Saccharomyces cerevisiae S288C: one gene and its partners. Changing the gene in region 1 together with any one later gene gives a genetic interaction. Each region holds a gene or a part of one and is shown on either strand. Other genes may lie near its edges.

Region 1 (4,029 bases):
TCTTTTGTTTAAAATCAGTTGTGTACCATTTGTTGAACTTAATAAAGATTCCCTAGCGCCACCAACAACAATGCAGATCGACTGATTTTTGCTTAGAGTCCTTAAAGCGTTTTTCCGAGATACTGAAGAAATACCTAACGCCAATAAGTAGTCTCTATACAATGGGATATGAAATTGTGTGACCAGTGTCATCAGAGAAATAGGAATACCTGGGAAAATCTTGGAATAGTTACAACCTTCTGTTGCAAACGCTCCAAACGCACCAAGTGCTCCTATGCCGTGTGGATGGTAACCAAATAAGTACGTTGGCCCTGTACATTCCTGGTTGCGATAGTCAATAGTAGAGTTGCTTTTGAGATTAATGGAATACTTAGTTGGCCACAATCTAATCTTGTAATTTTTTTCGTTAACTCTCTTATTTTTTGAAAGCGTAAAAGTTGGTTTTAAATTGACAGTTTTAATCAAACTTATAGGGAAATAATCACAATACCACTTCCAAATGGGCAATGAACGAAATCGAAGAGAGTATCGATTTACCACTTCGCCAGTTGCAGGAGACCTATCGAAAAAAAAATAAATCATATATGGAATAGCAAGAACCCACAGTGCTGGTGTCGAGATTGCAAATAACGTAAATATGGAGAAGAGTACAAATGAAGAAGTGTGCCATGCTACAGCCAGAGTTTGTAACCTTCTTTCAAAAGGGGTCGCCAATGGACAGCATGACTCTAGTTGTGGTTTGAGAGTCTGTTCTCTTTTATCGATGCTTGACAAAGACTTATTCTCATGCCTTTCGGTAATACCGGCTGTAGGGCTTCCTTCTTCCTTCTTCCTTCTTCTTATATCATTGAATGTTCCTGACATTTATGTGACTGTTCAAACTGTATGCCTCTGCGTTTCCTTATGTATATGTAAGTGTATGTGTAAATGGAAATGAGATGATAGTAAACCTCCTTAATGGAACAAACGTGATCTGGGATAAACAGGAAAAAAAAAAAACTTTGGCGGAAGTGTAGTGAAAGATCCAAGCCTGATAGACCACTGTCGTGCTTGGTTAAGTACAGAAATGCGGTGGAAGTACTGGTCTGCTTTGAGGAATAAGTTTCCAAATTCAGTCTTCTCTTTTTCTAGCCTTCCCATTACGTCAATGCTGACTGAATCTATCAATTGAATAAAAAACGCACATCATAAGCCTTTGTCGGCCCGTAACTTAGTTGCCTGCAGAGAACAAAGTACAGAAAAACTTCTTGCTCTGATTACCAGTTACAATAACGACTAACTAATATTTAAATAAAATGTACATCTATCTACTCTTTCAATCTTTCCGTCTTGTTATATATCGAAACCACGGTCTCTTAGTTGATGAACGGTCCAGATCCAAGTCGATGCCGCTTCGTCGACATTGTTAGAAACGTAGCTCGATTTAGATTCTTTACCCCCCGTGGTGAAGTACTTCCCGTTATCTTTTTCGACAGATAAATTCGGGTCCAATGCACACTTCAAAGAAGCTAGTGAACCTTGTTCGTTCGATACGCCGAAAAAGAACCCTACGACCTGGAACAACAGCCAAAAGAAAATACCGACGATGGGTAACCTTGTCCAATAACTGAATAAGTTTGTGTTCATCACCAGACCCGGATGAACGGAGAGACAAAGAACGTCAGGGTATTTGATGGCCAACATCTTCGTGCATTGGATTAGCGCGGTTTTACTCATCGCGTACCTAAACCATGTGAAAAGCATATTAGGTTTGTAATCCCACGTCTTGCTCAGTTTCCAGTACATGAACTCTAGATGATGGCCTATCGAGGACAGGGAAATGATCCTGCCACGACAATGGCGCAGTAAAGGCAATAATCTCATCGTGAAGATGAAGTGCGAAATGTAGTTAGTCTGCAATTGCACTTCAAATCCGTCCTTCGTCATTTCTAAGGGCACCGCCATAATCCCTGCATTGTTAACAAGCACGTCTATGTGGTCTTCCAGCTTGAGAATTTTAAGTGCCGCTCTCTCCACACATTTTAAGTCTGTCAAATCCAAATGGATATAGTGCAGTGACCCTAGACGCTGAATGCTTGGACCTGGGCCCGCGCCTGGGCTTGAACCGTCGTCATCTTCATGGCACCTCTTCTTTGCTTCTGCCAGTATCTCCTGGATTGCTTTCGAAATCTTGTGAGAGTTTCTCCCACAAATATAAACGACAAACCCATGCAAATACAAATGCAAGACAGTATACCACCCAATACCCGTATTTCCGCCTGTTACTACAGCAATCTTCCTCTCCACAGCCGGGTCGTAGTATGGCAATATTCGTGGGTCTAACATTCTGCCTTTGGCGTATGTCTCGTACTGCGGATGCCTCTAATACCAATCAGGCCTACAACCATTGTCTTCCCCGTTTCTACAAAGACAATAGTGTGTGTGCATTGTAAGTGATGCATCATGCACCATAATGATTTGTTTATATATACCCATGTACACTTGGGTCTCATTTCCTCAATTTTTTCATATCTTACCCGCATATCTTTTCTTTCAATGCCCTACTTCTATACTTCAGGGTTTTCCAAAAAAAAACAGTGATTAAGCAGGGCGGCATTTTCTTTATCTTGGGGCTTAGAAGACGCGAAAGACCTGTGGCTCAATACCTTTTTCGGAATATGTCAACAACACGAAACGCCAAAATTCTTGGCCCTGATTCAGGTACCGCGGGGGCCACGAATTTTGGCGTTCTGTGCAGGAATGACGTCTCTGCCGATTATGAAACTAAACAAGGTATGCTATCGGAGGTGGTCTGAGTTACTCGACAGATTTTTCTGACGAGAGTGAGTGTCGTTCGAGATATTTAAGCTCCAAAATATTTCCCTCACCTAGCTTACATTTTGGTTTATTCTTTCTTACCTCTACCTTTCTAAGTTTTTCTCTTCTGCTTCCTTTTCTTTTCACTTGGCATATTTTATCTATAAAAAAGTTTTGCAAGCGTTTAAGCAACTAGTTTAGCACAACATCCAACCAAGAGGTTTCTCGCGTATTTCTCTCATTTTTTTACCCATTTTACAAATTTTTTTTGCTATTTGAGCCATAGTACCCATTAATAGGTCTCGTCCATTCCCTTGTTTTTTTTTTATTGTTTCAATTACACTACATAATTAAAAATCACATCACTTTCACTCTCACCTTAGTCGTTCTTTATCAACCAAAAATAAAAAAATGCTTCAATCCGTTGTCTTTTTCGCTCTTTTAACCTTCGCAAGTTCTGTGTCAGCGATTTATTCAAACAATACTGTTTCTACAACTACCACTTTAGCGCCCAGCTACTCCTTGGTGCCCCAAGAGACTACCATATCGTACGCCGACGACACCACTACCTTTTTTGTCACCTCAACGGTCTACTCCACGAGCTGGTTCACCTCAACTTCAGCCACCATTACCAATGCGGCCTCCTCCTCCTTGTCCACCTCTTCGGCCTCTGGATCTGTAACCCCAGAATCCACCCATGAAATTACCTCCACCTCGACTATCACGTCCACTTTGCTGCTAACCCTTCATGACTCCACTACTTTGTCTCCATCATCTACTGCAGCAAGTGTCAGTGACGAAGATTCAAACAACAAAGATGCAAAGGTCAAGTCCTTTGAACAGGCTTCAACTTCCAATGGTTGCGTCCCAATCACAAAGTTTGTCACTGTCACCAATGAGCCCGTTACCCAGTACGTTACAGTCACCCCAAATACGACTACACAATACGTTACTGTCACCGGTGCACCTTCTGTTACCACTACCTCTCCAGGTAACGTACAATGGTACAACACCACTTCGATTACTAATTCGACCAGTTGGTGAATTATGAGTTCAAACGTGTCCTTTTAAGTTCTTTTTGTTTCTTTTTTGTATCTGTATTGACAATTTCACCTTCTGTAACTCTATCCTTCTGCTACCTAAATACATCAGTTTAAGTTCCAACTGGTATTTATTTTTCACTATCATTTTTCTCTCGTTTATATATATATACATGGACATTTGTTTGTTAAT
Region 2 (5,188 bases), on another chromosome or scaffold:
CCTCATCCGCCGGTAAACCAAATTCATCAACGAAAATAGCCTTACCGTATGGTCCAGTTACACCGTTCATACTGTCAAACAGTAACTTCCAATTCTTAGTAGAACGTTGATTATCGATGAATTTCTTGATTAAGTCGAAATCGAAGATTTCCTTCAAGAAGTTGACATAATCTTTTGTAATATCGATAATGTCAACGAGTAATGGACCGTATTTCTTGTTCTTGCCTATCGTACCCAAGTCTAGTTCTGGGAAGTCTTTGATAATCTTATAGCTGGTAAGCTTTTTGGAAATCTCCCAAATAGCATTTGTGACGGATTCAGGAGCAGGACCCCCATTGGATAAGTTATACTTAATACCCATGTCATTTTCTGGACCACCTGGATTATGTGAGGCGGTTAAGATAATACCACCAGTACATTTTTCCTCGTAGGTTCTCATGATGTGAGAAGCGGCTGGCGTAGACAGAAGACCATGCTGGCCAATAACTAACTTTTTAATACCGTTGGCAGCACCGATAGCGGCAATCTTATGAAGAATGACATCATTGTAGTAACGCCCATCACCACCGACAACAAGAGTGGCACCTTTAGAACCCTCTGGAATAGCTTCCATGATCGATTGAATGAAATTTTCTGTGTAGTTAGGTTCGTCTTTAAACACCTTTGTCTTCTTACGCAAACCAGAGGTACCAGGCTTTTGGTCTTCATATGGTTTGGTGGGAACCGTTTCAATTTGAAATGACATGTTATGTTAACTTTTGTTACTTTTTTTACTGAGAAAGATTGGTTGATCTTCTTCTTATTATCCTATTGTTCAAGCAACGCTGAAGAAAGACATGGAACACTATCTTCGAAAATGAAACAATATTAACGGTACCTTTTTATATTTCCCACATTGTTCGGGCGGCAGTCATCCAGATTCTGAAAGAATCAACTATTTCTTTTACACTTTTCAACCCCTGTTTGTTCCTGGAACTGCACATAACAAAAGTATAACGTCCCCTTTCACGTAAGTTCCCCACGAAAAAAGTAGTGCGCGACACCACCCCTTTTCGTGAGCTCCGCGCTTCTCTTCACCGAGCCTAAGTTGGGCCTCTCCCCCCTAGAAAGAACAAGTTGGCCCTGTTGTCCTTAGCTCGCAAGCTCAGGGGCAGCAGCGTGTGTTGAGATTAGAGAACCGCTCGACCTCAACGGATGATAGTATGATTTTAGTACATACAGGGAACGTCCTCTACCCACGTTTTATTGTTGTTGCATTTACTTTTGAACAGCGACAGGGGGGAAGGTGTAAAGGAGGAAAAGCAACCTGCATGGCTAGTGTTCAAAGTTACAAGGTAACAATGCAAATCAGTAGTATGACAATTATTTACCCGCTATTTATTTTTTTTTCTCTTTAACTGTGGTGACGAAAACATAACTCAAAGGATGTTAGACCTTTTTTAATTATTGCTATTGTTTGGACTTCCCCTACTGTGTTGTTCACCGCGCTTCAATAGCGTTTCTAGGTCCGGGATCTTTTCCCTCTCAAGCTCAGTTTTTAGTTCGGAGTCGAGTTTTAATTTGTCTACTTTCTTGATGCCGAGCACTTCAACCAATTTTGTGCTATCAAATTTCTTGTGCGTGTAAGGACTTATTTTGTTTTTCAATGAGTCAGGAAGCTCTGGGATTTCAAATTCCCTGGAATCATTGATCATCAGTTGGTGAATCCATTCCAGTAGCACCTGTTGTTGCCTGTAGACAAAAACCGTGGGTATTCTAAGAGGATCCTTTTTGTTTTCCTCTTGGTCTTTATTTAAAGAGGGAAGTGGGAGAGTGGTGTCTGTTGTTACTTCGCCTATGGGTTGATAGTAGTTGCCTAACGGAATCTCTGGTAGCTCATCTGTATCCATTGAATCTACAAATTGTTCCATAAGCTCATCGATTTGATGCCCGTCTGTTTCCTTTTTCAGCGGTACCCCGGATGTAGTTGTTCGATCCAGAAGTTTTGGAAAATCAGTTACCCTCTCGTCTTCCGCGAATGGTAATCTACACAAGGTAAGGCTCTTAACAAACTTCTTCTCGGAATTAATGTTACTGTGCTCAATTAGAACGGGACACAATGCACACATATTCACTTCACTGTCTTTCTTGCTCACATATCTTGCAACAGCAATTTTTCTATTTTCTAGCATAACATCCACTAGAGCACTGAAAGCCATTAAGTCAGATTGACAGCCAAGTCTTGTGTCGGCGGTAATGAAGGAGGATTCCGACGTCAAAAAGTACCTTGGAAGAGCTTCTCTATTCAAAAATCCTCTTAAATCCAAGCCTGGAAAAGATTCATATACAGTTTGATCGACTAGAACGGACGGTAGCACTACGTAGTCTGCACCATAACGGTATGCCTTCGTTACAGAGTCTTTGGAGATGGTCACGGGAATGTATGACGATCCAGACTGGTCATCTTCACTGACATTTTTCTTATTTCCTTCGTTGTGAATTTCATATTCGATTATGGATTTGACCCCCACATACCTTTCTTTCTTCTGGGAGTCTTCCACCTCAACAGCGGTTTTCCTATTTAAGCCTGAAACTGCTTTCGTAGCAGGAAAAGCCTCTACCTTGATACATAAGCAATTTTCATCTTGCATGCTGCCGCTAGGATTCGATGTTTGTGTTGATAATATATCTGCCCCTAACCTAAGCTCGCCTGAGAATACTCTTACTGGCTTAACGACAGATGTTGCTGGGGAAGTGATTTCAACAAGAAGTTCATTCATATTGTAGATTCTTGAATTCGGTATCGCTTCGACCAACTTTAACCAGTTCGATTTTTTCCTCTCCTCTTGAGTGTCTTTACCGCAATCAATCAAAATGATTCTTGTGCTTAATTCTTCCGTTAGCAGGTCTATTTCTTCATCAGTAATATCCAGATCATCTAAATTGTCTGTAAATACAACAATTTGTTTTAGAATTTTTCTTGCTTGAAATTGTTGTTTAATATCTAATGAGACGACCAACAGACATTGAATCATTGATTGTAAGCCTTCATTCGAACTATCATGACTGTGCTGATCACAATATTGTTTCAGGCGTTTTATAAACCCAATGGTGGCCGTCGTGGTAACAGGAGCCAAAAAGGATTGTATTTGGAACACATTTGGTATTTCCTGGGAATTCTCAGATACGGGACAATTAGCGAGATAACAGCTTATCCAATCTGTTTTTCTACTTTTTTTAGATTTGTTTAATAGAGTGTACTCTAGATATGCCATAGATTTGGAAACATTATTATTTTTCATCATTGATGGTGAAACATCCACGATGAAAGTTGTTGACTCACTTGACATTATTATGGTGTGAGATATATTATTTGTGCATATGTCCTGCACTCTCGTTAATTAGGTTTTCTTCTCTTGATGATGCCCTTTTTTTTTATTCATTTTTTTGCATGACAACAAATGCCCTGACGGACATGCGGTAATCTAGTTGAAAAAATAGTCAAATTGTGTCGACACTGTAAAAAGGTACTTCCGCTAATAGACTACAAACATTACTCCAAGACCAGAAACAGAAATACGTTACAATAGTGTTGTCGAATCCTGGCAATGGTAAATTGTTTTTAACGCCCTCCAACTGCTAATCTTTGGTTGACGGTACATTCATCTATTATAAGAACTAAATATATAGATTAACTAGAAAAGGCCAGATGTCTTAAGTGTATATATTTTGAATGAGAATTATGTATGCAGCATATTTACTTGAATCTTCAAAAAAAGAAGCCCTGTAGGGGGCTCGAACCCCTAACCTTATGATTAAGAGTCATACGCGCTACCGATTGCGCCAACAAGGCTACTTATTGTTATTTACCGTCAGCTTGTATTCTTATATGTTGAGCTGGTTTTTTATCTCAGCTTTTACTTTCTCAAAGTTAATAAAACTATTCTTCTAGAACTTTTTTTCTGGATTTCGGTTGCTGAACTAGTTCAACAAAAATATTTATTTTAAAATTAAACTGGTTCAAGGTCTCATAGTCGATCATTTCCAATCAATCAAAGCAACCCACAAATCCTAGGCTGAATCATGATATCGATGGAAGCAATCAACAATTTTATCAAGACCGCACCAAAGCACGACTATCTGACAGGCGGAGTTCATCATTCTGGTAATGTAGACGTGTTACAATTAAGCGGCAATAAAGAAGATGGTAGTTTAGTATGGAACCATACTTTTGTTGATGTAGACAACAATGTGGTAGCTAAGTTTGAAGACGCTCTCGAAAAACTTGAAAGTTTGCACCGGCGCTCATCCTCATCCACAGGCAATGAAGAACACGCTAACGTTTAACCGAGGGGAGTCACTTCATAATGATGTGAGAAATAAGTGAATATTGTAATAATTGTTGGGACTCCATTGTCAACAAAAGCTATAATGTAGGTATACAGTATATACTAGAAGTTCTCCTCGAGGATCTTGGAATCCACAAAAGGGAGTCGATAAATCTATATAATAAAAATTACTTTATCTTCTTTCGTTTTATACGTTGTCGTTTATTATCCTATTACGTTATCAATCTTCGCATTTCAGCTTTCATTAGATTTGATGACTGTTTCTCAAACTTTATGTCATTTTCTTACACCGCATATGATTATATACTAGAAACATGAATACTACTAAATAGATGATAAATGGAGTTTCATTGCAATGGTGATAATGATTGTGATTTTATTTGTTGGAATAACAATCAACTATCATCCATTCACTGGTATCAATATTACTGGTATATTATCTTATATGGTGTAGGAAGATGGCATAATATTGAGAAACGGCTATCGGATGTGGTAAAAGCTAAAATGCGAAGATTGATAATGTAACAGGATAGTGAACGACAACGCATAAAATGGAAAAAGAGGTAATATCGTTATTATGTAAAATTATTTGTGTCCTTTGTGGACTCTAAGATCCTTGGAAATTTAAATGACCGGAGAATGAGGTCGCTATAATAGTTTCTATACTCATGGAAAATGCAACCGATAAACCATTATAAATCTTCGCGGTTATCTGGCATTGTTATTAACCAAAAAAATGCCGGCCTATTACAAGCTACTGTTCAATAAATATTGTTGTAATGAAGACGGTCCAACTGTACAAATACAGCAAACTGTCATATATAAGGAGTCTTATGTGACAGCACTTGCGTTATTGTCAG
Region 3 (4,008 bases), on another chromosome or scaffold:
AATGAACTATTTACACAGAAAAAAGTGGAGAGTATAAAATTTCTGCAACGGTTAAACGAGAACTGTGCCCCAGGCTGCCATCTTCTCATACTAGAGAGTGCAGGAAGCTATTCTCACATTACCATCAACAACAAGAAGTTCCCAATCCAATTTCTTATCGATACTATCTTAGTAGGCAATAGAAAGGACAAGGGAACGACAGGTCCATGGTCACTAGTATCCGAGAACGACAGTATTTGGTATAGAATGGACCCAAAACTCGACTACTCGATTCCATTGGAAAACATGCGATTCTTTTACCGTCTTTATGTCAAGAACTAACAGGCTTTATGACGTTTTACTGTTCTCTTTTCATTGTTCTTTTCTCGAAGAGTTTAGAAAAATTTTTTTTCTTCTCATCCACACCGAAAAAATATTAATAAGAGAGTTGAAAATTCGATTTGGAATCAGAAATAAAGAAGGGGCCACGATCAAACAAGACTCATTTCGAATAATTGTAAAAAAAAATTAGCACAAAACAATATGACCGTTCCCAGGAATCGTCCCATGGCACCATTTGGCACCATTATCAAATCAAGAATAAAACAACCCCAGTTTTATTGGTTTATAGGCCATTTTTTAACCATCTTTAACTTTATACAATTTCATCTTTCAATCACGTCCAAACAAAACCAATTGTCATGCTATAGAAGATCATTATTTTACATATCCGTTACATATGCCATCGTTCTTTACCAGTTTTTCAAAAGTGACCAGTTAAAGTTCAATTTTACGCTTTTGCGCCAAGAGATGAAGAAATTGGATAATTTGCAGTATTTTGCCATGCTATTCATACTTTTTCTCTTATCACAGTTTAACATCATAATCAGCGGCTCGTTATACAGTCCCGTTATCTTTTCAATCTTTCACTTCCTGAACTATTTTAAGGAAAACCTTTTGCCATTTTTGCCTTTGATACCACTTAATTTGAAAAATTTGTTGAACTCCAAAATAACGGTATTCATCCAAAACTACAATGGATTTTTCTTACAGATGGCGCAAGTATTTGAGATTATCTGCGGCCTACGTGTGGGCCTCTTCTTAGTGCCCTTCAATTTTTTCTTGTTGTTGGTAAGAAGAGCAAACGTGTCGTTTGAGGTAGTGGGTACAATGTTGGCAGGACTAACCTATGTATGGTTTTTCAAATTAAGGTACCTACAAAGTGAATCTATGAGGCAGATATTTAAACAATATGTCCTTAGGTTGGATGCATATGTCAGCCGTACTTTGCCCCCATATTGTTCCCGTTTATGGAACGGCTATAAGAATTTCGTTATGACAGTGTTTTGGAAGATACCTGTGTAGCATGCTCATTTTAAGTATATCTAAATATTATTTTGTATATACTCACACTCCTCTATAGAAAGCAAAAAATTTCAAAAACGTTTGAAAAGCTTTGTTTAACGATACTTGTACTTAATTTTAGAGTCAGTTTCACCCCTCCTCTCCCTTTTCATCTGCCTTTTGGATTTGGATTGTCCCTCATTAGCATTTTTTGAGCGATTATCTGCCTGAGTTTGTTGAGCGCCAGGCATGAACATGTTTTTGAGGCCATATAACTTGTAACCAGCATAGATGGGGCACAATAGTAGACACCACCAAAATTTGAATGTCCTGAAAGCTATAATACCAATGTTACCAAAAAGTGATAGATATATCAAATCAAAAAAATATGATATCAAATTTGTATTGTCGTTCAAGTCTATACCTTGTTTTACTACGCGATTGCCATCATATTTGGGCTTACCGGATAGCACAATGATATACAGAGCAACGAACATAGGAACGTTCAAAGCCACCAGCTTAATCCATTGGCCAATTGTAACCTTACGTGAAATGAATAGACGTACGATAGCCATTCCTAAAAACAAAGAGACTTGCTTGTATAAGCCCTGAATTATTTTTGCATTTGAACTAGCCTGTTTCCTCCCTGCTTTGCCAGCCATTCTACCAACACAAACTTAGACCACTGCCTTTGGTGTCTTCTTGAAGCCACACGTGAATACTACCTTTTTTTCATCTATTATCTTTTTTTAATTACGTTGAAATTTTTCATTTCAAAGGCGCAGAACGAAGGTCGACTAATTTCATGACAGTCGGTAGACGTGGAGAAAAAAGTTGATTGTTAAGCCTATTAAGTTCCACTGAGACAAAGACCCACAAAGCTAGCTAGCATTGCCGCACTTCTCCAGAACAATGTTCTCCTTTGTCCAAAGATTCCAGAATGTATCGAACCAGGCCTTTTCAATGGGAATTGTAATGGTTGTATTCATCATGGCATCCTCATACTATCAATTAATCAATAATAACGCGTTCTCAGTACCTAGTAATATCGATAACGTCAAAACTTTAATAAATGTTAGAACAAGTAGATATTTTGGCTCACAGAGAGGCAAGGCAAAGGAAAATATGAAAATTAAATTTGATCTAAATACAGATCTCACTCCCCTATTCAATTGGAATACAAAGCAAGTTTTTGTCTATCTAACTGCTGAGTATAACAGTACTGAAAAAATAACAAGTGAGGTAACATTTTGGGATAAGATCATAAAAAGCAAGGATGATGCTGTGATTGATGTGAACGATCTAAGATCCAAGTATTCTATCTGGGATATTGAAGATGGAAAATTCGAAGGCAAGGATTTGGTTTTCAAGTTACACTGGAATGTTCAACCATGGGTAGGTTTGCTAACTTACGGTGAAACTGTAGGCAACTATACACTGACCGTGGAAAATAAAAACAAAGTTTAGACTAGTCTTTGCTCTCTCAATTTTTGTTAATTATTTACATGATTTTTTGATATATATGCAGTTGATTATACAATATGATATATGCATTTCTAGAATTTACTCACAGGTAATACTCTCTTAGATTTCCTCAGTTCTTTAAAATATGAAAGATGTCTCATTTCAATCTGTTCCCATTTATTGATCTTGCTTCTTGGCATTAATAAGTAATCTTTCATAAAATACTTGTAATTTGATATGAAGTCACGTACCTGATCTTCTAAAGTTTTTAAATCATCAATACCGTCCAAATATGTGTCTAACTGCCTCATTATACTGTTATATGTATCGCTTTTTAAGTATAGTCTGGGCTGAAATTTATTGGGCTCTTTTTCCTTCATTTTTAATGTTGGCCAAGATTTATCACTGGACTGCGTCTTATCCTCGGATAGTTTCGTTAATAGTCTAAATTTATGGATCAAATTATACCCATGAATTAGTGTGTCATCAACGATTTTCATACCATACGAAAGGGTTCTTGGATCCTTAAATAACGCTTCTACAGCGCTGTTCCACGATATATTATCTAAAATAAAACCTTTTTCTCGCAATTTCTTCCACAGTAATGGCAGCTCATCGATTTTATTCATTGCAATCAACTGACTTACTTTATAAGGGAACAATCCGCTGAATATGCTTCTTAGTTTAATATTTGGCGTTGTAGATGATGGCAAGTTTTCAATGTTTTCAATACGATCCATGTATTTAGCGAAAAGTGTTTCGAAATCTTTCCATTGTTCAATTTGAGCTAGTAATACCAACAATGATCTCATCATCACAAATTTATTATTATTTGATATCCAATCATGCTTTTTGAAGAAAAGCTCATTGTACCGGTTGTATAACTCTAAAGCCCGCTGTGGGCTATCATGTTTCACAATCATTCTCATTGGCCATGCCATGACCGAGGGATGCAGTTTGTTATACGTAACGTCGAGAGTTCCATTGGCAGCATTTTCCATGATGTCTTCTACCATATTAATCGTTTCCTTGATTTCCTCATTATTTTGTAGGCTTTTTTTGGCAACGGCCTTCAATATATAATATAAAATTTTGGAATTCGCTGGTACCTTATTCTGTGACATTGTCTTGTACAAGTTAATTATACCGTCACGATAACCCTCTTTGTCATATGCCTCCATTATTATTTCAAAATGTGTAGCGTCCACCTTGATTACAGAA

Evidence for each region. A genetic interaction does not mean that the proteins touch.
Region 2: mutations in ENV9 (region 1) and YKU80 together harm fitness more than expected from each alone (negative genetic interaction), as found in Saccharomyces cerevisiae (2 studies listed by BioGRID).
Region 3: mutations in ENV9 (region 1) and SND2 together harm fitness more than expected from each alone (negative genetic interaction), as found in Saccharomyces cerevisiae (2 studies listed by BioGRID).

The regions. Positions count from the first base shown.
Region 1 is NC_001147.6:794,469-798,497, forward strand, and holds ENV9 (Env9p), read right to left. Parts: upstream 2,326-4,029; coding exon 1,333-2,325; downstream 1-1,332. Other genes in the region: DGA1 (diacylglycerol O-acyltransferase), read right to left, coding at 1-864; SRL1 (Srl1p), read left to right, coding at 3,208-3,840.
Region 2 is NC_001145.3:476,862-482,049, forward strand, and holds YKU80 (ATP-dependent DNA helicase YKU80), read right to left. Parts: upstream 3,330-5,188; coding exon 1,440-3,329; downstream 1-1,439. Other genes in the region: phosphoglucomutase PGM2, read right to left, coding at 1-745; YMR105W-A (uncharacterized protein), read left to right, coding at 1,203-1,397; YMR106W-A (uncharacterized protein), read left to right, coding at 4,063-4,326. UniProt on the Saccharomyces cerevisiae protein: Single-stranded DNA-dependent ATP-dependent helicase. Involved in non-homologous end joining (NHEJ) DNA double strand break repair. DNA-binding is sequence-independent but has a high affinity to nicks in double-stranded DNA and to the ends of duplex DNA.
Region 3 is NC_001144.5:264,934-268,941, forward strand, and holds SND2 (Snd2p), read right to left. Parts: upstream 1,986-4,008; coding exon 1,440-1,985; downstream 1-1,439. Other genes in the region: BMT6 (25S rRNA (uracil2843-N3)-methyltransferase), read left to right, coding at 1-321; PER33 (Per33p), read left to right, coding at 523-1,344; signal peptidase complex subunit SPC3, read left to right, coding at 2,236-2,790; PET309 (Pet309p), read right to left, coding at 2,880-4,008. UniProt on the Saccharomyces cerevisiae protein: Functions in the SND pathway, a SRP (signal recognition particle) and GET (guided entry of tail-anchored proteins) independent pathway for targeting a broad range of substrate proteins to the endoplasmic reticulum.